7 linked regions of the Canis lupus familiaris genome follow. The protein of the gene in region 4 purifies or fractionates together with the protein of the main gene of each other region. This does not show direct contact. Links are inferred from orthologs where the notes say so. Each region holds a gene or a part of one and is shown on either strand. Other genes may lie near its edges.

Region 1 (4,257 bases), on a different chromosome or scaffold from region 4:
CGCACAGCCCATCACGGGTCCTTCCCCACCGGCCACTGATGCGCTGTTCTCAGATGCACGGGGGGGATTTGAAATCTCTTTCAAATCTTTTCTGTTTTCTGCAGCAGAGAATTGGCCGGTGTCTACTCGGCAGGATGTGAGATGTTGAAAGTCTCGTAGGGAAAAGTATACTTGGCTGCTCCGCTCCGTCTTTTCTCTTTCCGATGAAACCACGTTGTTGGGTAGCCCGAGATTTTGACCTAGGCCCGCGGGCTCGGCAGCTGTTGCCGCCCCCTGCTCTCCCCCCACCCCTAGCCCCTGCTCCCCCCCTCCCGTGTCACCCCCCTGCCCCCCCTCATGCCCCCGCCCCCTTGCTCCCCCCAGCCTCCCCTGCTCCCCCACCCCATCACCCCTGCTCCCCCCATGCTCCCCCCACCCCTACCCCCCTGCTCTCCCCATCACCCCCTTCCCCCCTCATGCCCCCGCCCCCTTTGCTCCCCCCCAGCCTCCCCTGCTCCCCTGCCCCATCACCTCTGCTCAACACCCCCGCCCCCCTGCTCCCTCCCCACCCGTCACCCCCTGCCCCTCGCCCCCCCCCGTCACGCCCCGCCCCCATTCCGCCGCCCCCCCTGCTCCCTCTACCTTGTTACCCCCTGCTTCCCCCTACACCCCCGCCCCCTGCTCCCCCCCATCACCTCCTGCTCCCTCCTGCTCCCCTGCCCACCCCCCTGCCCCCTCTGCTCCTTCCCCGCCCCCTGCTCCTCCCTACCCCCCTGTTCCCCTCGCCCCCTACCTCCCTGCTCCCCCCTTAGACCCCCTCCCTCCGCTGCTGCCTCCTGCCGCCCCTGCTCCCTCCTCGCCCGTCACCCCCTGCCCACCCCCCGCTCCCCCCTGCCCCTCTGCTCCCCCTGCTCCCCTGCTCCCCCTACCCCCTGCTCTCCTGCTCCTCCCACACACCCCCACTCCCCTTGCCTTCCGTCCCCCTTGCTCCCCCGCTCCTTGCCCTCCCTGCTCCCCCCCCCCCGCCACCCCTGCTCCCCCCTGCCCCTCTGCTCCCCCACCCCCTGCTCCCCCTACCCCCCTGCTCCCCCTGCCCCCGTCTCCCATGCCCCCATGCCCCCCTGCTCCTCCGCCCCTACCCTCCCTGCTCCCCCCGCCCCGCCCCCCCAGCACCCCCCAGCACCCCCAGCACCTGGAGCCGCAGCCGGGGGCCGGGCGGCAGGTGGGAGGCAGGCCGCGCCCCCCCACCCCGACGTGCGCGCCCCTGGGTCCCGGGCGGGGCTCCCGGCGCTCGGTCGCGGGGGGGCGCTGTGCGGCCGGCGGGGCGCGGGCGGGGGCGGGGGCGGCGGCGCGGGGCTGCGGGCGCGGCGGGGCGAATCCCAGGCGGCGAGGTCGGCGCCCCCGCCCCTCGGCCCACCCCTCGCCCCGGACAGGGGAGGGGCCGCCGCCGCCGCCGCCCCGCTCGCCGCGCCCCGGGCTCCGCGCACTCGGGCACTCGGGACCCGCAGGACGGCGGGCGGCCGGGTCGGAGCGGCGGCCGCGGAGCCGGGGAGCGGGGAGCCCGCAGGCCGGGCCCGGAGCGCGACCACCGCCCCAGGTAGCGCGAGCGCCTTCCCCGCGGCGGCCCGGGCGGGGGCGGGGGGTTGTGCGCGGGGCGGGGGGCGCGGGCGCGGGGTCCCAGGCGCTCTCCTCCTCCGGCCCCGGTGTCGCGGTCCCCAGCTCGCGCGGACCTCGGCCCCCTGCCCCGGGGCGGGCGCGGGGAGAACAATGGGGCGTCCGGGCAGCGGGCTTCAGGCGCGGCGTGCCCCGGCGGCGACCGCGCGGGGCCCCTTTGTTCCGCCGCGGCGGGGGGGCTGCCCCGGGGCTCGCTGCCGCCCGGGACGGGCCGCCCCTGGGTGCGCGGGGCGGGGGGGGGGGGGGCCCGGGGCGGGCGGCGGGGGAGCAGCGAGGGGAGCACGGGGGAGCGCCAGGGGGGCACCGGGGAGCAGCGGGGAGCACGGGGGAGCTCCAGGGGGGCACTGGGGAGCAGCGGGGAGCACGGGGGAGCTCCAGGGGGGCACCGGGGAGCAGCGGGGAGCACGGGGGAGCATGGGGGAGCTCCAGGGAGGCAGCGGGGAGCACGGGGGAGCTCCAGGGGGGCACTGGGAGCTCTAGGGGGACACTGGGGAGCACTGGGGAGCTTCAGGGGGCGCACCGGGGAGCACTGGGGGGCGCACCGGGGGGGGGGAGGCGGGGGAGCAGCGAGGAGCACCGGGGAGCTCCAGGGGGCCACCGGGGAACACTGGGGGGCGCACCGGGGGTCGGCGGAGGTGCACCGGGAGCAGCGAGGAGCACCGGGGAGCTCTGGGGGGCACCGGGGAGTACTGGGGAGCTCCAGGGGGCGCACCGGGGAGCACTGGGGGGCGCACCGGGGGGCGGCGGGGGAGCAGCGGGGAGCAGCGGGGAGCTCCAGGGGGCGCACTGGGAGCCCCGAGTAGCACCGAAGGGCGGCCGGGGGCGCCGGGGGCGGGGGAGGGCGTCCCGCACGCGGCGCCTGGGCCGGGTCCGGGGCTCCGCGGCTGGTCGGCGGCGCTTTGTTCCGCGGCGGCCGAGCGCGTCCCCGCCCCCCCCGCGGCTCCCGGCGCCCCTTCGCCCCAGCCCGCCCGAGCTGCGCGGAGCCGAGGGCGTCGCGGGTCGGGGCGAGGGTGGCCGCGTCCGGGTCCGGGGCAGCCGCGCACGGATCGGTTCGGCGCAGAGGGGGCGGCGCCGTGACGCAGCGCAGCAGAGCCCGGGAAGGTTTGGGGGCGCCGCCACGGTGCACCCGGTGCACCCCCTCCCTACCCGGGGCCCGCGATGCGCGCCCCCGACCCCCGGGCTGTGAGCGGAGCACCACCCCCACCCCAGGGTGGGCCGCCGGGGGCACGGAGGGAGCCGCCTCCGGATGCTCAGAGGGGTCCCGGCCTCCCTGTACACGCAGCGCCGTGCACACCTGTTGGGGGGCCCTGCTCCAGGTGGGCATGAGGGGCACACCTGTTGGGGAGCATCAAGGAGGCCGGGGAGGGGGTGCAGGTGGACCTGGAGAGGGAGCCGGGGCATTGGATGATGGGTGTCCTCCAGTGGGGTGCTCCCGGCTGACTGTTGGCAGGCCCCAGACACTTCCAGGCACTCCGGGTCCCTGCCTGTGGGACCCTGGTGGCCGAAGGATCCCCCAGCGGCGGAGGTTAGGACCCCGCGGTGGTAGCCCGGGAGACCGGGCTGCAGGTGGGCCGGCAGGTGCCCCAAGGACCCACGGGGTGTGACCCCCCCACACCCCGCCTTCACGGGGACAACCAAGTTCGAAAGCCTCTTAAGCTGAGAAGGGGAGTGGGAAGCTCACCCCCGGGAGGGAAGGAACACTTGCTGCCCACGGAGCATCCCACGGCATGGGAAAGGGTTGTAGGGGCGGGATGCGGGCCTCCTCAGGCCAGGCTGGGGGGCTGGGGGCTTGTCCTCCGGAGCCGGTGGCCGGGAAGCCGAGGTGGCCGCAGCCAAGCAGCAGGCGGTGTGCCGTCACAACCCACACCGCCCGGCGGCGCACCCGGGGGACAGGGAGCCTCTGTCCCCCTTGTTGCGTTGCCACTTTGGAGCTGTGGGCTGCTTTGTGGGGTACGGCACAGCGGGGCCCCCCAAGTACTCGTGGAACCTACAAGAACAGCAGCAGGCCTGAGACGGTGGTCACTGCCGCGGGAGCCACGGGGCACGGGCTCCCCCGTGGGTTGTCTGGCCAGAGGCTCTCCCCAGGGGTGTCCCGCCGTGTGGGGGGCTACTGGCTGCACCCCCTTCCTGGGTTGCAGTGAATCACCACTCTGTCAGGCCTGGTGTTCAGACTCCCCCTCCCAGGTCGCTGCACAGTTAGGTAAAGCGAGGAGGAGCCTCGGACCTCAGCGGGGAAGGAGTGGGGTGCAGGGCAGGAGCAGCGTGTCCTCTGTGTCCTCCCTATCCTGAGTGTGAGGTCCTGTGAGGTCCGGGTTTTTAGCATTCGGCCCCCTTTTGGGTGACATTCGCCCCTCTTCCCCCCGCCTTGTATTTTTAACAGCTTGGTGTTTGGGTTTTCGTTACGTACGTAGCCCACCGGTAGTCGTGTTCACGGTGTGGAACGGGTGTTGCGTGCATCACACCCTGCTGAGGACCCCACAGCCCGCTGCAGCCCCGGAGCTCACCGGCCTGCCCCTTAGGGCCCTACTCCTATAGGGAACCGGTAAGTGCCGGAGGTCAAATTTGAACTCCCATGTCTGGTTCGAAGTCCATATGCCTGTAAAT
Region 2 (4,007 bases), on a different chromosome or scaffold from region 4:
TAGCTTCTAAGGCAGTCCATTCCAAAGCATGGGGCTGGTACCCACTGCAGTACTAGTGGTGCATACAAGTGCATTTATGTGAGGAGCAAAATAAATAACATTAAGGCCCAAAGTGAAAAAATTATTACCCTTTTAATGTTCTTTAAATTCTTCCTATAACATAAAGAGAACCCCATGTGATACCAGGATGTTGCTAGCCATCTCTCCGTTTCCCTTTTTACAAAGTCTCAGATTTTCAGCAGGCAACTGTACCTACTTGATACTTAATAACATTTTGTTTTAATGTGTTTATTTTAATTACTTTCTATGCATAGCAAGTTATAAGGTTTTCCATTTAAGTTATTTAACATATTCTTTCAAATAAATTCATTTACGTTTTTCAAAATTGAGTCAACTTAAAGAAAATAGTAAATAATATGCAGATGATATGCAGATTCAAGAAACTATGTTGGTAGTGGAATGACTGATATCCGGAAAATACCTACTTAGAATCTGCATTTACCGAAAAGCCAACGTGTGATTTTTATCTGTGTTTGATGAGCTTGCTTCAAAGTACCATGATCACCACTGAGCACTTAGCTTTCTAATTGACAGAAAATAGAATTTAAATGTATCCCAGTTCTTCCAGTTTTGGGAAGAGAGGCCAATGGAAGTCCAGACAGCATCCCAAAAGTTTTCAGAACCCAAAAACTTGATGTGTCTGGCCCACTTGGCTTATTAACGGACAAAAATTGCATTAAAATTAATTCCGTTTCCTGCAGAATCCAGAAGGCTCTACCGAGGCCATTTGCAGGACGGGTAGAAACAGTTATCCACACAGGTTAGCCATATAAAGCAGAAGCTCCCCACCTGGATTAGTCCTTTTTAGGATGGGGCGACACTTAGAAGTAAGGTATTGTTTTCCTGAGCATTCCTTTACTTAGAAGCCGCGACGGGAATTTTCTCCTAGAATTTTCTCTTCGGAATTGGGGCTGAGGCACTTGACAGGTGAGTTGACCCAAGTAAGGTCCAAACAAAAAGGTGGGGAAGTAAGTCATCTTTCCCGCCCGGACTCCAGCCCCGCCCCCCAGCTCGGGCCCGGCCCCGCCCCCCGCTCGGGCCCCGCCCCCGCCTGGGCCTGGCCCCGCCCCCGCCGGAGGCCCCACCCCGGGCCCGCCCCCACAAGCCCCGCCCCCCACAAGCCCCGCCCCCTCCGCGTGCCCGCCAGTCCCGCGAATCCCGCGCGCACTGAAGATGGCGGCCGCGGTGGGAAGGTTCCTCCGGGCTTCGGTGAGTGCCTGCCGGCGGGGGACAGGCGCGGAGACACAACAGTGGCTCCGAGGACGTGCTTCCCACATAGGATCCTGCTCCCTGCGGCCGGGGGCGCCTTTCGCCCTGCTTGGAGGGCGCCAGCGGGTAACGGCCCCGGAGGCCTCGGCCGTAGGGAGTGCGCCTGCGCAGAACCGTCCCCCGCCCCGTTCCCGTCCGCTCCTCCAGCCCCTCCTCGCTCCGAGTCGAGGGTCCGCAGCCCTCCGTGCCCCTGAGCACCTCGCCCGGGAGGCAGGCGCCCTGGCCCCCGTTCCCTTTTCTGTAGCTACTCTGTGACCTTGGACACGTGACTTCCCCTTTCGGAACCTCGGTTTAGTGTCCTCGCCTTAAGGTAGAAAGAGCGATGCCAACATCAGGGCGTTGCAGCGAGTATCTACCAAATGGTGGATGGAAACCAAAGTGCTGAAGTACGGAGTGCTAAGGTGCAAAAGGCACTTTGCGCTTTGGCATTCCTCCCATCCCCTAGGTCTGTCCCCCTCCTCCCGGCAAAGCCTAGTACCCTTTTGGTAGCCCCCCTCCCCCTTCTCCTTGGCTTGGTTGAACTGCAAGGCTCTTCTTCCCTGAGTCATGCTAGACGCGATAGTTGAGCAAAAAAATAATCCCCTTGAGGCCTGTTCAAAATTTCCCAGAGTGTGAACTTTGCTCTACTTGTTTGCTTGTCTGTGGGGGCTTGGCCTTTTCTGGGAAAACCTTGACATGATAGAACATGCTTATTAGCAGGTCATGCTGGTAAAGGGCGTAAATACGCAGGGCCTGGCCAAGTCCCCTTGGTTTTTGAATCCTCTGTGTTCTTAAGAGCGTGGAGACTTTATCGTCTTATAATTCCCCTCTGCTTTGCAGGGTTTTTAAGAATTATGTATATATTTTAAAAATAAAAGTTATGTATATTTAAGATGTACGACAAGATGATTTGTATACATATACATAATGAAATGATTACTATAGACCAGCATCTCTTCACATAATTACCGTTTCTTGTGCTTGATGAGTGATGAGTGTGCCTGAAATCTACTCTCTTAGCAAATTCCGAGCACCCCGGGTGGCTCAGCGGTTTAGCGCCTCGTTCAGCCCAGGGCCTGATCCTGGAGTCCCGGGATCGAGTCCCATGTCAGGCTCCCTGCATGGCGGCTGCTTCTCCCTCTGCTTCTCTCTCTCTCTGTCTCTCATGAATAAGTAAATTAAAAAAAAAAAAATCTTAGCAAATTCCTAGTGTTCAGTACAGTATTAAGTATAGTCATCATTACCCTACATTAGATCTCTAGACTAATTCAGCCTACATAACTGCAACTTTGTACCCTTTGACCAGCATCTCCCCATCCCCCTCTTGCAGTCTTGAGAAAGAAGGAAGCGGAAAGGAATGTTAAAGAACATTGAGATTCATTCTACACTGTTAAGGGGTTTGGTGTTTAGTTCACAGGAACAAGGATTGGTGAGGCCCAATGGCCTGGTGCTCTTTCAGCCGGGCCAGCCTTCAGGCTACTTTCTAATATAAAGTGTTTCTCTTTCCAGATTGCCCGACATGTGAGTGCTATTCCATGGGGCATCTCTGCCTCCGCAGCCCTTAGACCTGCTGCTTCCAGAAGAACATGCCTGACAAATGTATTGTGGTCTGGTTCTGGTCAAGCAAAATTCGCTTTTAGCACCAGTAAGTATTATGCCTTGGTTTGGCCCAGGCAGTATGAATCATCTCGCGCCATGGGCTCTGAAGCCTGGCTATGCATTAGACTCGGTTGGGGAGCTTTGGAAACTATACCACTACCCCAGTCCCACCCCTGACAAATTAAGTCAGTATCTGAGGTGAGACCAGGACATCATTTTGGTTTTTTGGTTTTTTAATCAGAATGTAGTTGTCATAATATTGGTTTCAGATGTACAGCATAGTGATTCAAGATTTATATACGTTAGGTGGTGATGACAATGATAAATCTAGCTGCCATCTGTCACCATACAAAGTTGCTATGGTATTATTAACTATTCATTGTGCTGTCCGTCCCCACCCCACCCCCCCGTCCATCTTTCTGTAACTGGAAGTTCATATCTTTTAATTCCTTTATTAGTATATTCTAAAAGTTCACCGAATAATTCTAATGTCCAGTCAGGATTGAGAATTACCGAGGCACACTGCTCTTGTGTCACATTTCCTTGTTGGTCACCAGAGGTTTTTATGTTCTGTGTTGAGGAACACATAGGTTGGGGGAGTGGGGGGACTCAGATGCTTCCTGGGCCCTGTGTGTGAGGGGACATGAGATAATTGGCAGTGGCTGACAGTCTGTTAGAACCAAGGCTTTTAGATTCAGACCTGGCCATGTTAGAGCATGGATTCCTCCATTATCTGGTATTTCTTGAGATTTACACTGCATTTTCTAGAATGTGGGCTTTGCTAAGATCAGCCTCAGATAATGAGTGGTACTTGAAAATACCTCCTTTAGATTTGTCCCACACACCCCCCCCTTTTTTTTTTTTAAGATTTAGTTATTTGACAGAAAGAGAACACAAGTAGGGGGAGCTGCAGGCAGAGAGGGAGAAGCAGACTCCCCACTGAGTAGGGAGCCCTATGTGGGACTCAGTTCCAGGACTCTGGGACCATGACCTGAGCCGAAGGCAGATGCTTAACCTACTGAACCACTTTAGCAAAGCCTTCGTTTGTGGGCAAAACGTTCTGAAAAGTTTCACAGTTCCACAACCCTGGAGCTTTAAAA
Region 3 (3,500 bases), on a different chromosome or scaffold from region 4:
ATTCCAAGCAACTAACCAGAAATATAGGCAGAGTTTTAAGGCACAAAGGTATTTGTGGCAGCCTTGTTACCCAGCAGAAAAATATGGAGGCTGGCCGGGGCCCCCAGAGGCTGGGTGAGAGCAGTGGAGTATCTGTGAGTTAGAGGCACTGGAGGAAGTGTTTTGAGGAAATTTTTGTGTTTGATGATACAGGAAAATGCTCAGGATATAACATTATTCTGAACCTTATACACAACAAGTTCTCAACTATATAAAAAAAAATAACCCAACATATAGAAAAAGGCAGGAAGGAAATGCCTCAAATTGTTAACAGTGATGACCTCTGGGTGACAGGATAACAAGTGGCTTTTGCACACATTCCAACTTTTCTCTAATGAGCAATATTATTTTTGCAATCGGAGAAGGTTTTTAAGATACCATGAAGCCAAAAATGCTCAGGGCTTTGGCATTTAACAGCTCCAGGCCTAAGTCCTAGCTCTGCAGCCTACTAAGTATCCGATAACCTTGGGCAATGACTTCACCTCTTGGAGCCTCAGGAAAGTGGAGAAAGCACCACGAACACCTCCTTATAGGGTTGCTTCGGGTTAGAGGAGGCGATGGGAACAAAAGAAGCAGGCCAGAGCTGTGGCAGAGGTGCTTGTTTTCTTCTCCTTCTCACTTTAGGGGATTTCTTAAAGAAAAACCAACTTCCACACAAGGAAACTAAAAGATCTTAGCAAGTTTCATTCTCAGGCAAGAATAAAAAGGGAGCCACACTCCTCTTAGCTTCTTACTCTGTGGATGCACCGCAAGCTGCAGCTTTGTGCGCCCATCCTCAACTGACACCTCCCCTGGTCATCTCCCTGTGGCTGGTGTTTTACGATTGTAGGGGGATCTCATGCTTCATGGGCTTTGCCCCTACGCTGCGCTGCAACCCCACTTACGTCAGGAAGTGCGGATGGTGCTTGATTGTGTCCTCCAACTTCTCCAGGAAGGTCAGATCCGTGGCCTCCCCAGGGCGCAAACATTCCTCATCCTGGGGTGTGTGACAGAAGGTGAGGGGTGTATCAGGGAAGGAGCTGGAGGGCTCAGGAGGCCCAGGGAATGGGGCAGATCGTAGGGAGCCTCCCACAGACAACTTCCAGACCAGGCCAACACCTCCCTTTAGGGACGCACAGCCCTGCCCTGTCCCTGCTCAACACCAAACTTGGGCCCTCTGTGGACATGCCTACAGGAAGGGAGTAACATCCTCCCACTCAGCCTCCAACATGAGGCCTTGGAGGAGCAGAGGGCTCACCAAAATGGAGATGATGCCCTTGAACTTCTCCTCCACCAGGTCACAGATGATCTTATTGTTGAAATATTGGACAGGCTCCCACTGAGAGACAAAAGGGAAGGAAGGCATCATCATGGGGTCCTAGCACCTCTTCTAGGAGACCCCATGCCTGGCTTCCTACAGGGTGTCCACAGGGACACCTGCAGGCTTGCACCCACCGCGATGCCCTCTGCCTCATATTCCTCCTGTTCCGACTTGAGGGTGAGCTCGATGAAGAGTTGCTGCAGCTTCTCATTGCAGTAATTGATGCAGAACTGCTCGAAGCTGTGAGGGAAACAGAAGAGCCCACAGTAGTTCAAGGGGTACACAGAACCAGGAGCAGGGGAGAGACACACAGAGCAGGACTCAAGGTGGCTGGGGGCATTGTCAGGAACACGAGGCAGGGGGAGGTGGGGACCAGGACAGGGCAGATGGGAGGAGAGACAGACAGGGGGAAGGGATGCTGACCTGTTGTGCTGAAATACTTCAAAGCCATAAATGTCCAGAAGCCCAAGGACTGTGGTGCTCCGCCAGCTGGGGCTCTCGGCATCCTAGGGCCAAGAGCATGGGTCCTGGTGTGTGATAGTTCCCAGCCCCAGGCCTCCCTGTTGCTTCGGAAGCAGCACCGGCCAAGCCCTCACCTTGGAGGCCAGCGACCTGTTGATCTTCCTGACCAGCCAGGTAAAAGTACGACTATACACAGCCTTGGCGAGGGCGTCTCGCACATACGCAGCCTGTTCCAGGTTCAGTGGGCTCAGGAGCTGCCGGCCAGGGTGAGACAGGAGAAGAATGCCACAGACTCCTTTCCATCCCCCTGCTCTATGGGCTCAGGGCCAAACACCAGAAAACCATGACCATGCTATCCTCCCGGCTCCCGGGAAGGATACACTGGGGATACACTGGGGAAGGCCACGGTGGCCACATCAGAGGGAAGATGGCACAGGGACAAGAGGCCTCATTCCCGGAGGTGGGAGTCCCAGAAAGAGGCCTTGGAACACCTGCACCCTTCAACCCCTACCTCCTGAGACAAAGGCTTGGCCTCACCTCTTCTCCCTTGGCGATAATTTTCCTGTGTGTCAGGGCTTCCCGCAACGTTGAGCCTTCTACGCCAAGAAGCTGCCAAGGGAGGAGGGGTGGGCATGGAGAGGGTGCGCTCCTCCTCACCCCGCCTGCTCTGCCCCTGCCCTTTGCTCAGTCCACTCACCCTGGTCAGATACTTGAGCTGGTTCTCGGTGGTGACCTGTGCATTGCTCTCCTCATCAGCAGCAAAGTGGATATTGCCCAAGTGCAGGACGCTAGCCACGATACTGAGCAGGTCCTGGGTGAACAGGGAGAGGGTGGGGGGCGTGTCACAGGAGGAGCAGACAGCCCATAAGGGCCACCAGTGACCAGTCAGATGGAACAGGTTAGAGGTAGGGGAGTGTCTGAGACAAGGGGGCTGTAAGTGGCCATGGGCTATAAAAGGAGACTGAGATTTTCAGGGTGTAGAGGGAGGGCAGGAAGGGACCCCAGCATAGGTCTCACCTCAATTTCATCTTCAGTGAAGTCAATGACTGTCAGAGCCTTCCTGACGACCTTCCAGTCACTCTTGTCATTGATGGAGGAGACTTTGGCACACTGGCCCTGGGTGAAGGGCAGGGTGGGTTACCAGCCCTGGTGCTGTGCTCCCTGGGCGGTGTCTGCCCTGCCCACTTGCTACTCACCTTCACCAGGTACAGGTAACTCTGGGGGTTCCGCTCTAAGCCCAGCCTGCGCAGCATCTCCTCCTCGCCCCCTTCCAGCAGCTGGTAGAAGACGTGGAAGTTTCTCTCCCCGTGGTTCTGGTGCACCACTCGGGACTTTTCCAGGAGGTAACTGAGGATGTGGCCACCCACGGGAGCACCCTGTGGGCAGCGCAGGACATGGTGATGGCTCAGGGGGCCTGGGGATGTGGCCCAGCTTCCACTCCTTCCTCTGCATTCCTGGCCTCTATTTCCAGTGCTGCCACTAGCTGCATGGACTCAGACAAGTCACCCCTTTCGGCCTCAACATCCTCATCTAAGAAATGAGTGTATGCAGCCCTATCTACCTGGCTGTTCCCCTTGGCTGTCTGACAGGCAGCTCACACCAACAGGCCTGGAACTGAACTCCTGGTATCCCCCTCCTCAGATGAGCTCCCCTCTTCCCATGTTGGCCATTGGTCACTCTGCCCCTCATGCTATGCAGT
Region 4 (3,978 bases):
ATATCACATTAAATGAATTCTGGAAAGAAACATTAATATTTACTTTTAAATTTACCTTACCTTCTTCAATTCATCATTCAGAAGTTTTAATTCAGCACTTCCAACTAACTCAACATATAAAGCATTAAAGGATGTGTGTGTGTGTATGTGTGTGTGTGTATATATATATATATATATATATATATATATATTACACCACAAATATGAAGAAATCTGAAGAAAAAAAAACCACTTTAAGTGGAGTATTAAAATATTGGTAAAGTGACCCCTTTCTATATTCCCTTGATAAGACCAATGATAATTAAAACTGATAATGTAATTGTGCCTAGCAAGGCCACAGTATTTGTAACAAATCACTGTACTTCTTACTTGCACGAAAAGCTTGTGAATTCAGAACGTATAGTGAAAAGAGATTCTGAAGGTATGTGAAGACTTGAGTCCTGGCTCTGTCATTAGCAATGTGGTACTTAGCTCTGGTAAAATGTAAAGGTAAAAATGTCCAGTGAGATTTCTGAGAGAGCAGTGTGATTCCAGTGAGAATTAAATGATGGGATAACATGCCTTTTGCAGACTAATACATGGTGGGGAAATGAATAATTCTATTCCATTAAGTAACCAAATCAAAAGACAATTCCTTATTTTCTTGCATACTTTGTCTCCGGTACCCACTGGACGAGGTATTAAGTGGCATTCAGAGCCACTCCATGCAAACATGTCCAGGTGTGGATAGCTTCTAAAACAAAGAATGAAGTGGTGGGTGGGTCTGTTCCAGCCTCCCCTGGATTCTCAAGTTTAGCACTGCCTCTCTGGACCCTGCACAGCAAGCCCTCCAAAGGTCCCGCGGGTTCTGAGTGGCACCCAACAGGAAGATCCTCTATACCATGCACGGAAGCCAAGGAATAGAAGCTGCCAGACAAGGCACTTCTGAACACCAAAGCAGAGGCAAGTGAGAAGGGATGATGTGGGAGGGAAGCAGCAAGCACAATGGGCCAGCTCTAAAATGTGACTCATATTTCATGGGCAAAATTCAGGCACTGGATGCTAAAACGAACAGTGTCTCTATCACGCCTCCCATCTTTTCATGATTTTGTTTGCTAACAACTTGAAAATCAATAGTCAGATGGGAGATGTTTCAGTTGAAGAAAATTTAAAATAACCATTTATCCCAAATGTAAATGTCCTCATTTAAAAGAAGCTAGGAATATGGTTCACCCAGACTAGACATAGCTGGATACAGAGATGAATGAACATAAAGATAAAGGTAGATACAGATTTAGAGATCCAGATAATTCCTACTTGCGTCTAGCCTCTCCAGTAAATATTAAGAAACACTGGCTTTCTGACTACACCTTGACAGAGTTCAAAGTTCAATTCTCTTTCTCTTCAGGACCCAACAACATGCAAGTGCCTGATTTCAGTTCTCTAAATCTCAAATTCTACAAAGGAAGTCAATATGTTAGCCAATCATTTGTTTTGACTGTAAATCATCCTCAATTATCATCTTCATTTTTTTTAATATATTGAAGGCATTTAACAAATTTTTGTGTTTCCTGTGGTACTGATTTTAAGTCTCACTTTTATATTCAGTTTATATGAAAAGAGTTGAAAAATACAAATATAAACTTACAGGAGGATGCTAAGACATCGCTTTCTTTAGATAACACAATGCACACTACAATTAAAGGCCAGAAATCTGTTCTCAAATTTAAAAAAGAAAGAAACAAAGCTTAAACCTATGAGAATTTGCCAGTTACTTCATTTTATTAATTTAATCATCATTAATTTTTTAGTGGCTAATTATTCTCCTTTCCCTAACTGTTCACAGCGGTGTCATCTCTAGAACATGCTGTTCTTGGTAAGATTCTTAGAATAATTTGATTAAATGCTGATACTGGTGAACTCATCTAGCCAATCACAGAAGTAAATTTCAACTTCTGATTATTTCCTACCCACCACCAACCATATTTTGTAGGTCAGTTGTATAAACCTACTTCTCCAAAACAATTAGGGAGCTCTTAGCGGGCCCTTTCACATCAGTAACATTTGACCATGACTTGTATCGCTTCCTTCTTCAAATCACAGTCAGTGGTTTGAGAAGCCAAATGCCAGAATTAACCCAGAACTTTTGGGTGTATAATATTGACAGAAAAACATCTATTTCCAGACAGAAAGGAGAACGGGTGACATGAAAACAACTCCTTTACCTGCTGCACACTAGCGACTCTCATATACAAGTCCAAGACGATCAACACAGGCACGTGGACTTTTTTGCCTTGAAATAACTTGGAGGCTGGAAGAGAAGGGGGTGAGGGAAAAAGAAGCAAAGTCACCATCCACGCACAGGGGATGAAACAGGGGGAGAAAGCAAAAGAAGTGAGCGCAAGACCTCCCTACAATTCTCAGCTCCTTTCTGCCCTAAGGAGTTGACAGTCTGTGGCTTCTCACGAGCCCAGGTTTGTGCAACTCGGAAAAACGCGAGGGAGAAAGTTTGCAAAAAAGAGGCGGGAGGGGAGCGGAGGAGAGAGTTTCCTTGCGACTCATTACCGTGGTCGGCGTACGTGAACACCAGCATATCCTCCAGGATTTGGACCAGGGTCTCTATCTGTTTTCCTTCCTGGACATTGTTCAGCCTGACTATCAACTTCTTCAGAGTTTCCTCGTCCTCCTCCTCGCAGCCCTGACAGCTGCCACTGGCCATGACGGACTCTGCTCCACGCGGGTCCCTCCCTCGCGGAGGCCGGCGGCTGGGGCCGGGATAGGGGCGGGGGTTAGAGCCGGGGGTTAGGGCTCGGGGTTAGAGCCTAGAGCCGGGGGTTAGGGCTCGGGTTAGAGCCCGGGGTTGGGGCTCGGGGTTAGAGCGGGGGGTTAGAGCCCGGGGTTAGCACCCGGGGTTAGAGCCCAGGGTTAGGGCTCGGGGTTAGAGCCCGGGGTTAGAGCCCGGGGTTAGGGCTCGGGGTTAGAGCCCGGGGTTAGAGCCCGGGGTTAGGGCTGGGGCAGGGCCTGGGGCAGGGGCCGGGGAGGTGGGGGGGGGGGTAGGGGGCGGGGTTAGGGACCGGAGTTAGGGCTCGGGGTTAGGGCTCGGGGTAGGGCCCAGGGTTAGGACCCGGGGTTAGGACCCGGGCCCGGGGCTCCGCCGCCGCTCGCGGGCACGAGCACAGCTCAGCGCCGCAGCCTGCGCTCCCCGCCCGCCCCGTCCGCGCCCACGCCCGCCGCTCGGGGAGGAAGGCCCCGCGCCCCGCGCCCCGCGCCGCCCTCGCTCGCCGCAGCCCTCCTCCCCGGCTGCCTCCTCCCCCACCAGGGCCGCAAAGAGGAGCTCAGCGGCCTGCGGAGGCTCGGCCGAGGGAGGGCGCGTGCGGCTGGGGCTGGGCCCGGCCGGGTGGCCCCGGTCCCCGACCCGGAGAGCGCCGCCTCCCGGGACCCGCTCCTGCTCCCCGCGGCGGCGCGGCCGGGAGTCGCGCGGGAGGAAACGGAGCCCCAGGCCCGGGCCCGCCGCCCCCGCCCCCGCCCCCGCCCCCTCCCGCCGCGCCCCCGCCCCCTCCCGCCGCCCCTGCCGCGCCCCGGGCCCCGCTCCTTGAGCGCCGCGGAGGGGCCGCCCGCTAGGAAACCTAAAAAATGAAAGCCGCCGCCTATCTCCAGATCTAAGAATAGAAATCTGGGCGTCGGGAAAGGAGGGCACCGCCCAGTTGGCCCCTTTTAGGAGAACATGTTCTTTAGAGTTCCCCCTATAGGGAAATGAATAATTTCCCACCAGGGATGGAGAGGGATTTCTGCAATCAAAATGTGCCCGGCTGAAGGCTCTTTTTTTTTTTTTTTTTTTTTTTTTTTTTTCCTGTGGTTGCTGTGGCTTTTTGTAGGGGAGCAAATCCCTTCCCACCCAGCCACCCATTCCTCCCGCCCCCTCAGTTATTTATCGTAAAGCTCCGTTGGCCAAAAGTTCACTAAAATTAACTTTTGGAAATTTGAGTTTGCGCTCCGTAG
Region 5 (4,157 bases), on a different chromosome or scaffold from region 4:
AGCCTCCTCCCCTCCCACCCCCACAACTATCCAGATCTGGGGGGTGGTGTCATCAATCCAATTTATTGATCATGTCCTCGGTGAGGTGGAGGAAGGGTCACGTCCTTCCACTGCAGACCTTGACCATCCTGACGGCTTCTACTGTCTCCTGTCCCTTGGCCCTGCCTTGGTTTACCAAGAAGGGGGGGGGTCTCTGCCATCCTACATGCCCTGAAACTAACACCCCAGAGGAGGCCTGGAAACCTGCAGAGTTTCCCAACTTTCCCCCACCCAAGGCACAGCCAGGGGCAGAGAGGTCATGAGGATCAGGACCAGGAGAGCAAGGCGGAGCAGGGATAGGACAGACCAAGTCCTTTACGGCAGAGGACAGAACCACACTGTGGAGGGAAAATAAATAGAGGGGCCCAGGGTGGCAGAGTCCAGGCCCCCGGGTGAGAGTAGCGGGTAAGCAGAAGCCCCAGCACACCGGCTCCAGGCCCCTTGCCCGCCTCAGCCGCTGAGGAAGAGACGCTTGTAGGCCTTGTTCATCTGTTCCAGGAAGATGAAGGTGAGGACGGTGTGAGGGCCCAGGCGGGCATAGTACGGTGTAAAGCCCTTCCACAGGCTGAAGAAGCCCTCATAGCGGACAACCTTCACCAGCACGTCCTAAACAGGCAGGCAGGCAGGGCGCTGGAACCAGGATCTGGCTTCTAGGGCTGTATCCCTATACCCATGGCCCTCCCCACCCTCCTGCCCCAGCCCCCGGCCCCGCCTCTGCCTCCTCACCAGCCCATTCTTGTATTCTGGTTTCCCGTCAATCATTCTCATATTCTGGATCCTAGAGAAGAGGACACAGAGGTATGAGAAACATAAAGCAGGTCCTCCCATTCTGCTCCAGGACCAAGCCTGCACAACTCACCGGGTCTTGACAATGTCCACGGGCATGGAGGCAGCAGTGGTGACCAAGCCACTGATCATGCTGGCACAGAAGTGGCACAGGATGTTGTCAGAGAAGTAGCCTGGGGGAGGCGAGGCAGGGGTGACAGTCAGTGCGGAGCTGGCCCGGGGCAAGGCCGGGGGCTGAGGGCCCAGCTCTGGGTCTCACCTGAGTCCAGTAAGAACTGCTTGGATTGGGAGTAGGAGGCGAGCTGAGCTGCATTGACCACAACAGCACGAGCCATGGTAGGGATGCAGCCCTGTGGGGAGCGGGGACGGGGGTGAGGTTGTGGTGTCAGAAATGGCTGAAACCTGCCCCCTCCTGATCCCCAGTCTCCATCCCCTTCACTCACCCTCCATAATGTGGGGACTCCCTCCTCCCGGGCGATTCGGATCAGGGCATTAAACACATTTTTGTAGCCACGGCGCTGGTCAGGTGGAAGCCTAGTGGGAAGGTGGGGAGAGGCCAAGCTCAGGATACACCACTCTGCCCCACAGGAGCAAAGAAAGGGAGGCCAGGACACATTAGTGCTCTGCTCCAGACCAAGAAATCCATTCTGAGTCTAGATTCCAGGGAACAGAGCTAGGGCAGGCTCAGACCTGGAACTCACCGGCCGTCGGCAGTCATGCGGATGAGTGCCACCTCAGCTGGCGTTCCCACAAAGGCACCAGTTGCACCTGCCGTCATGCCAATCAGGGCCTTCAGCAGAAAGCCAGGGGGTGTACCATCAGCCCCCGTCAGGCGCTCAAACAGCACCGTATAGATGCCAAGGCGGGTGGTGGTGTAGGTGGCCTGGCGCAGCAGGCCAGCTGACAGCCTGGGGAGCGAAGGGGTCAGTGCATCAGGCCCAGGTCTGGAGTTGCCAACCCATACCCTACGCCCCCATCTTGTGGCCCCAGTACCCAGTGTAAATGCCCCTCAGCCCTTCTGCCCTCAGGATGCTGGTGAGGGCATGGAAGCTAGTTTTGTACTCTCGTGTCTTGGCTCCCTCTCCGCTCAGCTGCATCCGGTTCTTCACCAGATCCAGCGGTTGCACAAACACCGTAGCTCCCATCCTGGAAGAAGACAGAAGCAGGGTCAAAAGCCAGGTGTCCCTTGACTACCGTCCTATGCCCACTGGAACCTAGCAACGAGATGTCACAAGGTACAGGGCCTGCCACGTGATTAATTAAGTGTTCAGGAGGCTAGTGGCTATGTGTGTAAGTCTCTGCGTGGACCAACAGCCACAGGTCTGAAAAGTCCAGCAGTCCAGCGAGGGCCATACAGTGAAAGTGTTCCACGGAGTTCCAAGGGGGTCAAGTGGTGACCTGAAACTGCCTGCAGTCCCACCCAGAGAGAGGAGAGGGGGCACTCATGACCTGCGGCTTCGCCCAGTCCGACAGGTACCATGCAATGACCTGGAACCGCACACGATCCGGGAGAGCCAAGCAGTGGGTGCGAAACTCCAGAGAAGGCCGGGGGGCCAAGCAAGGAGGCTGCGAGCAAGGAGGGTGCACGCAGCCCAGCGGGGGCCGTGCATTGGGTGAGAAGTCCTGGCAGCCATCAAGAACCTCGGCAACGCGCTGGGGACCGCGCTGACCCCGTGCCGCACACCCGAATCCCAAGCGGGCCCGACTCCTTGCAACCGGCCCTTCCTCCTCCCTTCCCGGCCCCGGGGCCCGAGCTTACCCTGCCAGGCCCCCAAATAGGAACTTGACGGACTTAGGGGAGGTGCGGGGCTTCCCGTCCACCCCGCCGGCCCCAGGACTCGCCGTCGCCGCCATCGCCGCTCAGTGGCCCTCGGCGCCGGGTCCTGTGCGCGCGCGGTCCCACTCGCGCCCAAGGTGACACCGCGCGCGCAACAGGGCCGAGGGCGCGCGCACGCCCCTCCGGCTCTCGGGTCCAGCTCCAGCTGGAAGCCGGCGCAGGCGCAGGCGCGCGGCGCAAAGGCGGCCGGGAGAAAGGCGGAGCCGAAGGCGGGGCCTCCAGGAGGGGAGCGGGAAGGGGTGTGGCCGGCTCAGGAAGCCATAGCTTAGACGCAGTTTTCACGAGATTGGACTCGCGGGAAAATAAGAGGGTATGGAGATCTCGCGAGACAGAGTGCGCCTGGGAAGCCAGAGCGAGGTGTGGAGGTTGGCCTGGGTATGGGGTGGGGAAAGAGGGTGTCTCTCGCGATAGCACGCAGCGAGCATTCGGAGGGTGGGAGGGAAAGTGTGGCGAGGACTCTCGCGAGACTGGAAGGTACCGCGGCCGCGGCGGCGGCGGCGGGCCCGGGATGGTGGAGAGGTTCGTAAATCGGACCGCTCCGAGATCCCGGGCGTCAGAGGGGGAACGACTAGGTCGTCTGCTGGGGCTTGGGCGCTCGCTGCATCTGCAGAGGCACGCCCTCCACCCACCCTCCCTCCACTCCCAACCTTTCCTTTGACAGGCCTTTCAGGACCGGAAGTCCTTCCTCTTGAGCGCCCAATGCCGGAGGCGGCCTGACTTTCTTTCCCGGAAGCCCTTTTCCAGCCGCGAGGAAGACAGTTCACCTGCCCGGAAGTCCCGCCTCTCGGGGCGTCCCCACCCTGCCAGAAGTTCTCCTGTCACCTGTGCCGGCTTCCGGGCCCCCTTCCCGGGTTTGTCCCTGCGCCCGCGGAGGATCTGTTTGGTGTCTCCCTCCCTGCTCCACGGGCCGGGCTGGGGACCCCGCTCCCGGACCCAGGGTTCGACCCCCGCGCCCCCATGTAGCTGGGAAGCGGGGCCTGGGGGTGGTCGGACCCCTGGGATTCTGAAGGGGGACGGAGAGGGCGCGGAACCCCGCTTGTGCCGCTGCTGCCGGGACGCGGCGTCCTCGGGATCCCCCCGTCGCTGCCATGCGCCCCGCGGCCTTCCCGCTTCCTGTGGTCGTGGCCGCCGTGCTGTGGGGAGCGTCCCCCGCGCGGGCGCTCATCAGAGCGGTGAGTCTGGGGACCTGTGCGCGAGGGGACGCCGGGGGCGGGGCTGCAGGGGTGTCGTCCCCCGCGCGGGGAGGGGGCGCCGGAGGGCGGGGCTGCAGGCTCCTGGGGGAACACGGGCTCTCCTGTCCGCAGACCTCCGACCACAATGCCAGCATGGACTTTGCAGACCTGCCAGCTCTCTTTGGGGCTGCCCTGAGCCAGGAGGGACTTCAGGTGATTGCTTTCCCTTTGACCCTTTTCCCTACATCCTCTCTTGTGGGCGGGGAAGGGGATTAGGGCAGCCCTTTGCCCTCGCAGTGTAGGAAGTACAGGTGCAGGAGCGC
Region 6 (3,434 bases), about 2.8 Mb from region 4:
AAAGATGGTAGGTGGCATCTATAACTGGAACCCTGAGCTATCATAAACAAGAGGTTTTGTTGTCATTTCTTTGCAAGCCTCAGCCAACAGATTTAATTTTTCTTTATCGTTTGCTAACTTTAATATTCTTCCTCTTCTCCAACCCCTCTAACAGCAGATTGTGGGAAAAGCATAAACTGCCCTTAAAAACAAGAGTACTTATTAAAAGCACAAGGAAAAACAGCTGCCATTTAGCCTAATTTTTTCAAAGTAATCTCACACATTATTGAACTATGTATGATCTCTCCAGAGTTTTCTAAGTTGGCTTACATCTTTACTGGTCAACAAAATACCATAGAATAAAACTAATAAAACAAGAATACACTCACAATTCTTAGGCTGGCAGTGACTTTGAAGCTGCCTAAAATGTGGAAAGAAATCTAGTAATCACAAGTACTTTTGCAGCTTCTTTTCTAGGATAGCTGTTAGTTTATACAAGAAAGAATGTTTAGGATAATGGAAAAAACAGTAACTCATCAACATTTAAGAATAGTTTTAGATGCTCCTTAAAAAGATATTACAGAGTGTTATGGCAATTGTTAAAAAAAAAAATCAGCTTTCAAAACAAAAAGAACCTGGGGGTCAATTATAGGGTGATGAATGGTTAACTAGCCTTTTGGGGGTAATATCACTGTTTAATTTTTCCAAAAGTCAGTTTGGGGTATCATTCTGAATCAAAATACTGGCCCAGATTGCCTCAAATATGCTAGTTAAGATATGCCATAGCTCAATACAGGCAGTATATTTATACACTAATGTTAAAATGAGTAACTGTATCTTTAAACACCAGTGAATGATTAATGCTAGGAGTGAAATAAAACTTAAAGCAATAAATCCTCAGCACAGTGGGCTGAGAGAAGGTAAGACCTTTATAAACTTTTGAGGTTCAGAACCTTACATCTGGACAATTAAGTGAGGAAAGGAGCCAAAGACAGAAAAACCAGAAATAAGGATGGGTCTGAATGAGTCATTGATGATTTCATTTTCCCCAAAAAAAGATGATCAAAAATTGACAGTCTCAAGCGCTCGCAGTCCCTGTTTTGAATTTGCTTAAGCTGCCAAGGCACATGTTAAGCTACGTGTTTAGGGTGACAAGGCAAACCGCATGGAAGCACAAGAAAGCAGGAGAGGGTTATCCATTAGTACTGGACAGAGCTCAGAGCCTTTAAAGAGGAAATGTTCAAAAGTATTAACTTTCATCTCTGGAATCTCAATTCCCTACCACAATATTAAAATCAAAACTAGGAGAAAGCCTGTAGTTGTTATTTAAGGAAATGTTAAAACTAGAACTAATGCCATCTTAGAAGGGTTAGTTAGGTAAGAGAAACAAAAAATGGAACACAGACAAGGAGCAGATGCTATGGTACAAACAGCTTCTCCAATGGTTTTGAAGACAGTGTTTCAATGAGAACCAAAGGTACATTTCCATTCTGAAGCAAGAGACTCACATTTTTAGTTTCTCTTCTGCTGTCCTGAATTAACTGTTAAAAGATATGTTAAAACATGCAGTTTAACAAGCAAAATTTAAATACCAATAGCCTGAATTTCAAAAGTGCAGGATAATTTCCTCTTTAAATTATTTTTGTGTGCATCTTTATTACAAGCAAAGGCATGTCAACAATAATTTATAAAGTATACGCTGTTATATAATTTAAGATTCCTATTAGAATGAAATGATTTAACCTTAGCACAATATCCCACATTAATGTTCTGCTATTACTGTACAGTGTGGTGTCTCCAGATGATTATGTTGCACCAAACAACTAGGCATGCAGGCTTAGATTAAGAATCAGAACAGACCTTGCCATCAGCCTCAGCAGAAGCAGCAGGGGAGGGCTCCTGGGAGGCAGGTGCCAAAGCACTTGGAACTTTATAAGACTAAAGGCAAAAAATGCAGGGAAAGAAAATCAAGGATGCCAAAAGTGCATTCAGAAACGTTCTATAAATGTAAATTTTTCCTCTCTGTATCAAAATAGTAAAGTAACATGAGAAATAAAAGTAATTATGGGATAGAAAATTATGGCTTATTCGTATTTCTTATTGTCACCTTCGTTAAAAAACCTTCAGATGAATATCTAAGAAAAATCCAAATTCAAAAACTTCATTTTTATTTTTGGAATCTGGTAAGATCTTTTCTGGTAAAGAATTCAAGATAACACATTTGTATACACACATTTTAATCTATGCAACTGTTACAGAAAACCAAAACCTATTATGTGCACATTATCTTCTCTCCAAAATGCCTTGTTATAGTAAAGTCATTTCAACTAATTTTACAAAGTTGATAAAGTCACCATAAGCTTTGTTTCAAAAGCTCAATATTTTGGGGTGCCTGGGTGGCTCAGCTGGTTAAGCCTCTGACTACTCCCAGTTTCAGTTCAGGTCATGATCTGGGGGTCTTGAGATGGAGCCGCGTGTTGGGCTCTTCTCAGCCTGGAGTTTGCTTGAGATTCTCTCTCTCATTCTTCCTTGATCCCGCTCCCCCTCTCTTGTGTGCACTGTCACTCTCTTCTAAAATAAATCTTTTTAAAAAATAAATAAAAGCTTGGTATTTAAAATTCACCTTTAAGCATTTTTTCTAATGTTTTCAAGATACCATTATCTTTTACTTCAACCTATTTTTAAATAAACTTGCATATCTTCACCCAAACAATGAAACAGTTCCAATGAAATAGTAAAGGGAGACGAAGAAAAGACTATTCCTAGAACTGAGTAGTATTAAGGCTTACCAATCAATCCTTTGCATATTGGGAATATACTTTTAAAATACTGTTTTTTTTACCTTGTCTCGTGATACAGCTGAAGGTAATTCTCTTGCTAGCCTGTTTCTCCTTTGTTCCTATAAAACACAACCAAACCAAACCAAAGTGATTATCAGAGCACTGAGATGGAAGCCTACTAAAAAATGTTCAGCTGAATTGAAAAGTGTGGATAACTTACAGTATATCCTCTCACTGTTGGGACTCATGCCACAATTTTATTTTAAAACAAACAAATCATTTAACCCAATGCTTCTCAATCTTTTTTTCTGCCCAACACACCTGAAGGATACAATATAACGTCAGTTATAGTGGCTCCCTGTACCAGGGATTCTCAATTGAGGGGCAATGGGCCGACATCTCTGCCTTTCCCACTAGGCGTCCATGGTTTCAGCTGTCCCCACATAAACGTGTGCATAAGCCTTCAGCACACCATGCGGAATCTTCTAAGCGCACAAATGACAGAAAACGTAAGCCTTTAAAAATCACTCTACCCTGCACACCTCTGTGTTAAATTCACACAATTCCCACCCACAAAACCCTGAATACTGTGGTAGAGGTTATCCTTTCAGGATGTTCCATTTCCTTTATTCTAAACTCTCCCAGAATAAAAGTAGAGAAAAACCTAATTTAACA
Region 7 (4,232 bases), on a different chromosome or scaffold from region 4:
TCCCAGGGAAAAATGAGGCTCTGCACACCAACAGCTCCAGGTCTTGGCCGCTGCTCAGCCCACTGCTGTGGCTATAACCAAAACACCCAAATTGCAGCCCCGTGTCCACTCCTGGGATCAGTGCAAGGTCCCGGGCCAGCGTAGAGAAGACCAAAGCACGGGCAGCACCAAGGGCCCGGGCAGGTACCCGGCAGGGCTGCAGGGTTCTAGCGCCCCTGGATCAACAGTTACGGTCTCAAACCCTGTGAAGAACCTCATCTGTTAGCCCCGCTTCCCATGGCCTGAGGCCACCAAAGGGCCCGTCATTCCAGGAGCTCTTGTATCTCTCATCTCCGAGGACAAGTCCCGGTCACCAGGACCGAGACAACGTACCTCCTTTGCGCCCGGACTGCATCATCATCCGCCGCCGCACGGTGTCGAAGGGGTAGGAGACCACGCCGGCCACGGCCGTCACAGTCTGGGCGATCATCCAGCTCACCACAATGTGCGTGTTCTTGGGGTCTGGGAGCATGCCTGCGGGGTCACCAGCCAGCGTTAGGTTCCAGTGCCACACACACAGCGGGGCAAGAGCAGTACTGCCTGCCCTGGTGCCACGTGGAGCCCCCGCGACCAGGGAACGGCATGGAACCACCCGCAGGGCATAGAGCGGTCCCTGAGGCCCACGCTTAGTGCCTGGGAACGAACGGGCTCTCTCTACAGAGAGGGACAGGCGAGCCTGGTAAGTGCATGTACCACACAAGAGGCGGTTCTGCTGCACAGACACTAGCTTTCAGGGTGTGAACGGCACACCCTAATGTTCACGCTGAAAACCCCGGATACCTAAAAATAACTGCCTTTAAAAAACAGTGTAAAGCGTCTTCAGAGGAGACCCTAATCCAACACCATCAACACCCTGTAAAAAATCTAAACTCAGACGCACAGAAGAGGCCCACGTGAGGACACACGGACAAAACTGCCATCTACACACCGAGGAGACGCCACGAACGCCAGCAACCCCGTGGACGTGTGGATGTCAGACTTCCCACCCTGCAGAGTGCGGCTCTGCCAACAGCGGATCCCGGAGCCCCCGCCGCACGTGCAGCCCCACAGCAAGAACACACGTACCCTTGGCCGTGTCGTAGACGCCGAAGTAGGCCGCCCGGTAGATGATGATGCCCTGCACGGACACGTTGAAGCCCTGGTAGAGGCCCCGGATGCCGTCGGACTTGGTGATCTTCACCAGGCAGTCTCCAAGGCCCTTGAACTCCCGCTCGGTGCCCGACTTGCCGACGTCAGCCGCCAGACGGGTTCTGGCGAAATCCAGCGGGTACACGAAGCAGAGGGAGGTGGCGCCCGCGGCCCCGCCTGATGCCAGGTTGCCGGCAAAGTACCTCCAGAACTGCGTGTGCTTGTCCACGCCCCCCAGGAAGATCTGCTTATACTTATCCTTGAACGCAAAGTTGAGGGCCTGCGTGGGGAAGTAGCGGATCACGTTGGCCAGGTTGCCCCTCCAGAAGGACAGCACGCCCTGCTCCTTGGGGATGCGCACGATGCAGTCCACGATGCCCTTATACTGCTTGTCGGCGGCGATCTGCTTGCTGGCGTGCTGCACCTGCGAGATAGACGGGCGGACAGGCTCGTTAGAGGGCCCGCACGCAGTACCAGCCAGCGTCCCTAGGGTAGGCGAGTCCCTGGAGGGGAATTCCTGCATGTGAGCACGGTAGCTCCACGGGAGAGCTCATATCCCGGGGGGGCCTATGCCTGCAAGTGGAACCGCTCAACCGTGCACGGGAGGAGCGCACTGGGTCGACAGGATGGGGCACAGCCCAGGACACCACCGGTCAACCCAGCACCGGAGGGCACTCATCCCGGGAGGCGCGTCCCTGCAAGTCGGAACCGCTCATCCGTGCACGGGAGGAGCGCACTGGGTCGACAGGACCGGGCACACCCAGGACACTGGTCCCTGCAAGTCCGCACCGCTCATCCGTGCACGGGAGCGTGCACTGGCTCGACAGGACGGGGCACAGCCCAGGACACTGGTCCCCGCAGGTCCGCACGGGTCAACCGACAATGTTCCCACTGCCCCACCCGCAACAACGTTGCCAAGGACGCGCTGCAACAATGTTGCCAAGGAGGCGCTGCAACAATGTTGCCGCCAGCTGGCCGCGGGCGCAACGACTTCCCAGCGGAGCGCCGCGGCTCGCCGCCTCTCAGGCCGGAACGGGGCGGAGCAAAGTCCCGGCCTCCATCACAGGGGGCGCTCGCGGGGCTCCCGCGGTCCGCTCGGCCTCGACGGTGGGAACCGCGGGGGCGAGGCCCGCGCTCCGGGCGCCCGAGAGCTCTGCCCCAGCGCGCACGCGCGGAGAGCGCCACGTGACGCGCGGCCGGCCCGGCCCCGGAAGCGGGCGGCGCGCGGACAAAGCGGCGCGGCCTCGCACTTCCGGCGGCCGCGGGTCCCGGTGCACGCGGCCGGCCCGCCCCGCTGTCACCCCCCACCGCGAGCCCTCGCAGCACGCCCGGACCCCCCCCCCCCGACGGGACCGCCGTCCCGGGTCCCCGAGCGCGCACGCGCCGTGCGCACCTGCAGCAGCAGCTTGACCCGCTCGATCGGGGCCACGGCCGTCTTGGAGATGGCGGCGGCGATGCCTCCGGCTAGGAAGTCCTTGGCGAACGAGATGGCCTGCTCCGTCATGGCGGCGGGCGGGCGGGCGGCGGACGGCGGAGTGCGGGCGCGGACAGCCGGACGGACGGGCGAACCGAGGGAGGGAGGGAGGGAGGGAGGGCGCCGCTGGCTCCGCGCTGCCGCCGCCGGGACCGAAAGGACGGGGCGCCCAGCGCGCAGCCGCTAAGGGCCCGAAGCCCCGCCCCGCGCCCCCGCCCGCCGCGCCCATTGGCCGCGCCGCCCGCCGACGCCCCGCCCCTTCCCGCGCGCCGCGCCCCCGCGGGCTGCCGGGAGCCGCAGCGCGCCCCGCCCCGTGCCCGCCCGCGCCGCGCCCATTGGCTGCGCTGCTGCCGTTGCCCCGCCCCTTCCCGCGCGCCGGGCCCCGAGGCATGCCGGGAGCGGGACCCCGCCCATGCGCCGTGCGGCCCGAGGGCTCGGCCGCCGCCGTGACCTTGTGAAGGTCGCCGCGGGCCCTGGGCGCTCCCGGCGGGGGGAGGGGGCGGCGGCGGCGGCGGGTCCGCGAGCTCGGGCTCCTTCCAGCCGCTGGCCCCCCGGGCGCGCCCAGCACCGCGACCCTGACCCTGCGCGACCCGTCCCCCGACCGCGACCCCTTGGCCCCGTGTGCTGACCCCGAGGTCACGTCGCGGCCCCGGGCTCCTCTGGAAGACCCCAAGGTCAGCTCGAAGACCGCAAGGTCAGGTCGCCTGCCACCTGCACTTCCCCCCTCCAAAAGCCCACAGTCCCCACGACTGGCCGCCCGACCCGTCCTCACTCCAGCGCCCCGCCCACTGGCCCATGCGGACGCCCCAGACCAACCCCAGCGAGCCCAAGCCTGGGCCCCCCCAAGACCCCCGCGCCCTCATGTGGGGGTGCTGCAGCCCGCATGGATGGGTGACTCGCGGCGGCGCTCGCTGCACGGGGCCATGCTGAGCCGGCCACGCATGCACCTGTGCATTCGTGCACCTGCACACACACGGGGCACCTGCGCACGCAGAAGGCACCTGCACACGCACACGCAGACGGCACCTGTGCACACGCAGACGGCACCTGCACACACGCGTGCACCTGCACACAGAGGGCACCTGCACACGCACACGCACTTGTGCATTCGTGCACCTGCACACACACAGGGCACCTGCGCACACTCAGAAGGCACCTGCACACGCACATGCACCTGTGTGTCCAGCTGCACACGCAGACGGCACCTGTGCACACGCAGAAGGCACCTGCACATACGCGTGCACCTGCACACGCAGACGGCACCTGTGCACACGCAGAAGGCACCTGCACACACACGTGCACCTGCACACACACATGCACACACACCCCGGGCACCCCCAGGAGGGAAGCTCAAGCCCGGACACGGTGTCCTGCGGAACGTTCCATTGACCTTGAACCTCTTACTGGATTGTAACCGAGCGAGCGATCCGAGTGGAAGGTGTGTCGCTCGGAGTGGAAGGTGTGTCGCTCGCTGGCTTGGCCGCAGCGGGACTCCAGCTCCGGGAGGCGCCCTCAGGGCTCCGCCCGACTGGCTTTAGGCCTCCCTGTCTCTCTTCCTGTCTCTCTCCTGTCCCTGCCTCCGCTTCCGTCC

What was found.
Region 1: the proteins of LRRK2 (region 4) and MYO1B purify together in Homo sapiens (affinity purification with mass spectrometry; 3 studies listed by BioGRID and IntAct, with this or other methods). This does not show direct contact. The link is inferred for Canis lupus familiaris from reciprocal best matches to the Homo sapiens genes LRRK2 and MYO1B.
Region 2: the proteins of LRRK2 (region 4) and PRDX3 purify together in Homo sapiens (co-immunoprecipitation; 3 studies listed by BioGRID and IntAct, with this or other methods). This does not show direct contact. The link is inferred for Canis lupus familiaris from reciprocal best matches to the Homo sapiens genes LRRK2 and PRDX3.
Region 3: the proteins of LRRK2 (region 4) and MYO1C purify together in Homo sapiens (affinity purification with mass spectrometry; 3 studies listed by BioGRID and IntAct, with this or other methods). This does not show direct contact. The link is inferred for Canis lupus familiaris from reciprocal best matches to the Homo sapiens genes LRRK2 and MYO1C.
Region 5: the proteins of LRRK2 (region 4) and SLC25A11 purify together in Homo sapiens (co-immunoprecipitation; 3 studies listed by IntAct, with this or other methods). This does not show direct contact. The link is inferred for Canis lupus familiaris from reciprocal best matches to the Homo sapiens genes LRRK2 and SLC25A11.
Region 6: the proteins of LRRK2 (region 4) and DNM1L purify together in Homo sapiens (co-immunoprecipitation; 6 studies listed by BioGRID and IntAct, with this or other methods). This does not show direct contact. The link is inferred for Canis lupus familiaris from reciprocal best matches to the Homo sapiens genes LRRK2 and DNM1L.
Region 7: the proteins of LRRK2 (region 4) and SLC25A6 purify together in Homo sapiens (co-immunoprecipitation; 3 studies listed by IntAct, with this or other methods). This does not show direct contact. The link is inferred for Canis lupus familiaris from reciprocal best matches to the Homo sapiens genes LRRK2 and SLC25A6.

Annotation. Positions count from the first base shown.
Region 1 is NC_049258.1:1,637,215-1,641,471, forward strand, and holds the start of MYO1B (unconventional myosin-Ib), read left to right. Parts: upstream 1-1,457; 5' UTR 1,458-1,576; intron 1,577-4,033; exon of another isoform or gene 4,034-4,195; intron 4,196-4,257. UniProt on the Homo sapiens protein: Motor protein that may participate in process critical to neuronal development and function such as cell migration, neurite outgrowth and vesicular transport.
Region 2 is NC_049249.1:29,700,318-29,704,324, reverse strand, and holds the start of PRDX3 (thioredoxin-dependent peroxide reductase, mitochondrial), read left to right. Parts: upstream 1-1,207; 5' UTR 1,208-1,233; coding exon 1,234-1,269; intron 1,270-2,817; coding exon 2,818-2,953; intron 2,954-4,007. UniProt on the Homo sapiens protein: Thiol-specific peroxidase that catalyzes the reduction of hydrogen peroxide and organic hydroperoxides to water and alcohols, respectively. Plays a role in cell protection against oxidative stress by detoxifying peroxides.
Region 3 is NC_049230.1:45,590,846-45,594,345, forward strand, and holds part of MYO1C (unconventional myosin-Ic), read right to left. Parts: intron 3,178-3,500; coding exon 2,998-3,177; intron 2,918-2,997; coding exon 2,819-2,917; intron 2,613-2,818; coding exon 2,499-2,612; intron 2,411-2,498; coding exon 2,339-2,410; intron 2,056-2,338; coding exon 1,936-2,055; intron 1,846-1,935; coding exon 1,763-1,845; intron 1,580-1,762; coding exon 1,474-1,579; intron 1,358-1,473; coding exon 1,277-1,357; intron 1,016-1,276; coding exon 924-1,015; intron 1-923.
Region 4 is NC_049248.1:33,158,482-33,162,459, reverse strand, and holds the start of LRRK2 (leucine-rich repeat serine/threonine-protein kinase 2), read right to left. Parts: upstream 2,801-3,978; 5' UTR 2,699-2,800; coding exon 2,545-2,698; intron 2,291-2,544; coding exon 2,205-2,290; intron 1-2,204. UniProt on the Homo sapiens protein: Serine/threonine-protein kinase which phosphorylates a broad range of proteins involved in multiple processes such as neuronal plasticity, innate immunity, autophagy, and vesicle trafficking.
Region 5 is NC_049226.1:31,882,071-31,886,227, reverse strand, and holds SLC25A11 (mitochondrial 2-oxoglutarate/malate carrier protein), read right to left. Parts: upstream 2,801-4,157; 5' UTR 2,680-2,800; coding exon 2,585-2,679; intron 1,972-2,584; coding exon 1,819-1,971; intron 1,734-1,818; coding exon 1,527-1,733; intron 1,360-1,526; coding exon 1,269-1,359; intron 1,176-1,268; coding exon 1,085-1,175; intron 999-1,084; coding exon 899-998; intron 818-898; coding exon 766-817; intron 646-765; coding exon 490-645; 3' UTR 44-489; downstream 1-43. Other genes in the region: E3 ubiquitin-protein ligase RNF167, read left to right, coding at 2,975-3,019, 3,324-3,834, 3,967-4,047. UniProt on the Homo sapiens protein: Catalyzes the transport of 2-oxoglutarate (alpha-oxoglutarate) across the inner mitochondrial membrane in an electroneutral exchange for malate.
Region 6 is NC_049248.1:30,406,259-30,409,692, reverse strand, and holds part of DNM1L (dynamin-1-like protein), read right to left. Parts: intron 2,879-3,434; coding exon 2,822-2,878; intron 1,918-2,821; coding exon 1,840-1,917; intron 1,837-1,839; exon of another isoform or gene 1,521-1,836; coding exon 1,488-1,520; exon of another isoform or gene 1-1,487. UniProt on the Homo sapiens protein: Functions in mitochondrial and peroxisomal division.
Region 7 is NC_049260.1:869,270-873,501, forward strand, and holds the start of SLC25A6 (ADP/ATP translocase 3), read right to left. Parts: upstream 2,801-4,232; 5' UTR 2,672-2,800; coding exon 2,561-2,671; intron 1,592-2,560; coding exon 1,105-1,591; intron 514-1,104; coding exon 373-513; intron 1-372. UniProt on the Homo sapiens protein: ADP:ATP antiporter that mediates import of ADP into the mitochondrial matrix for ATP synthesis, and export of ATP out to fuel the cell.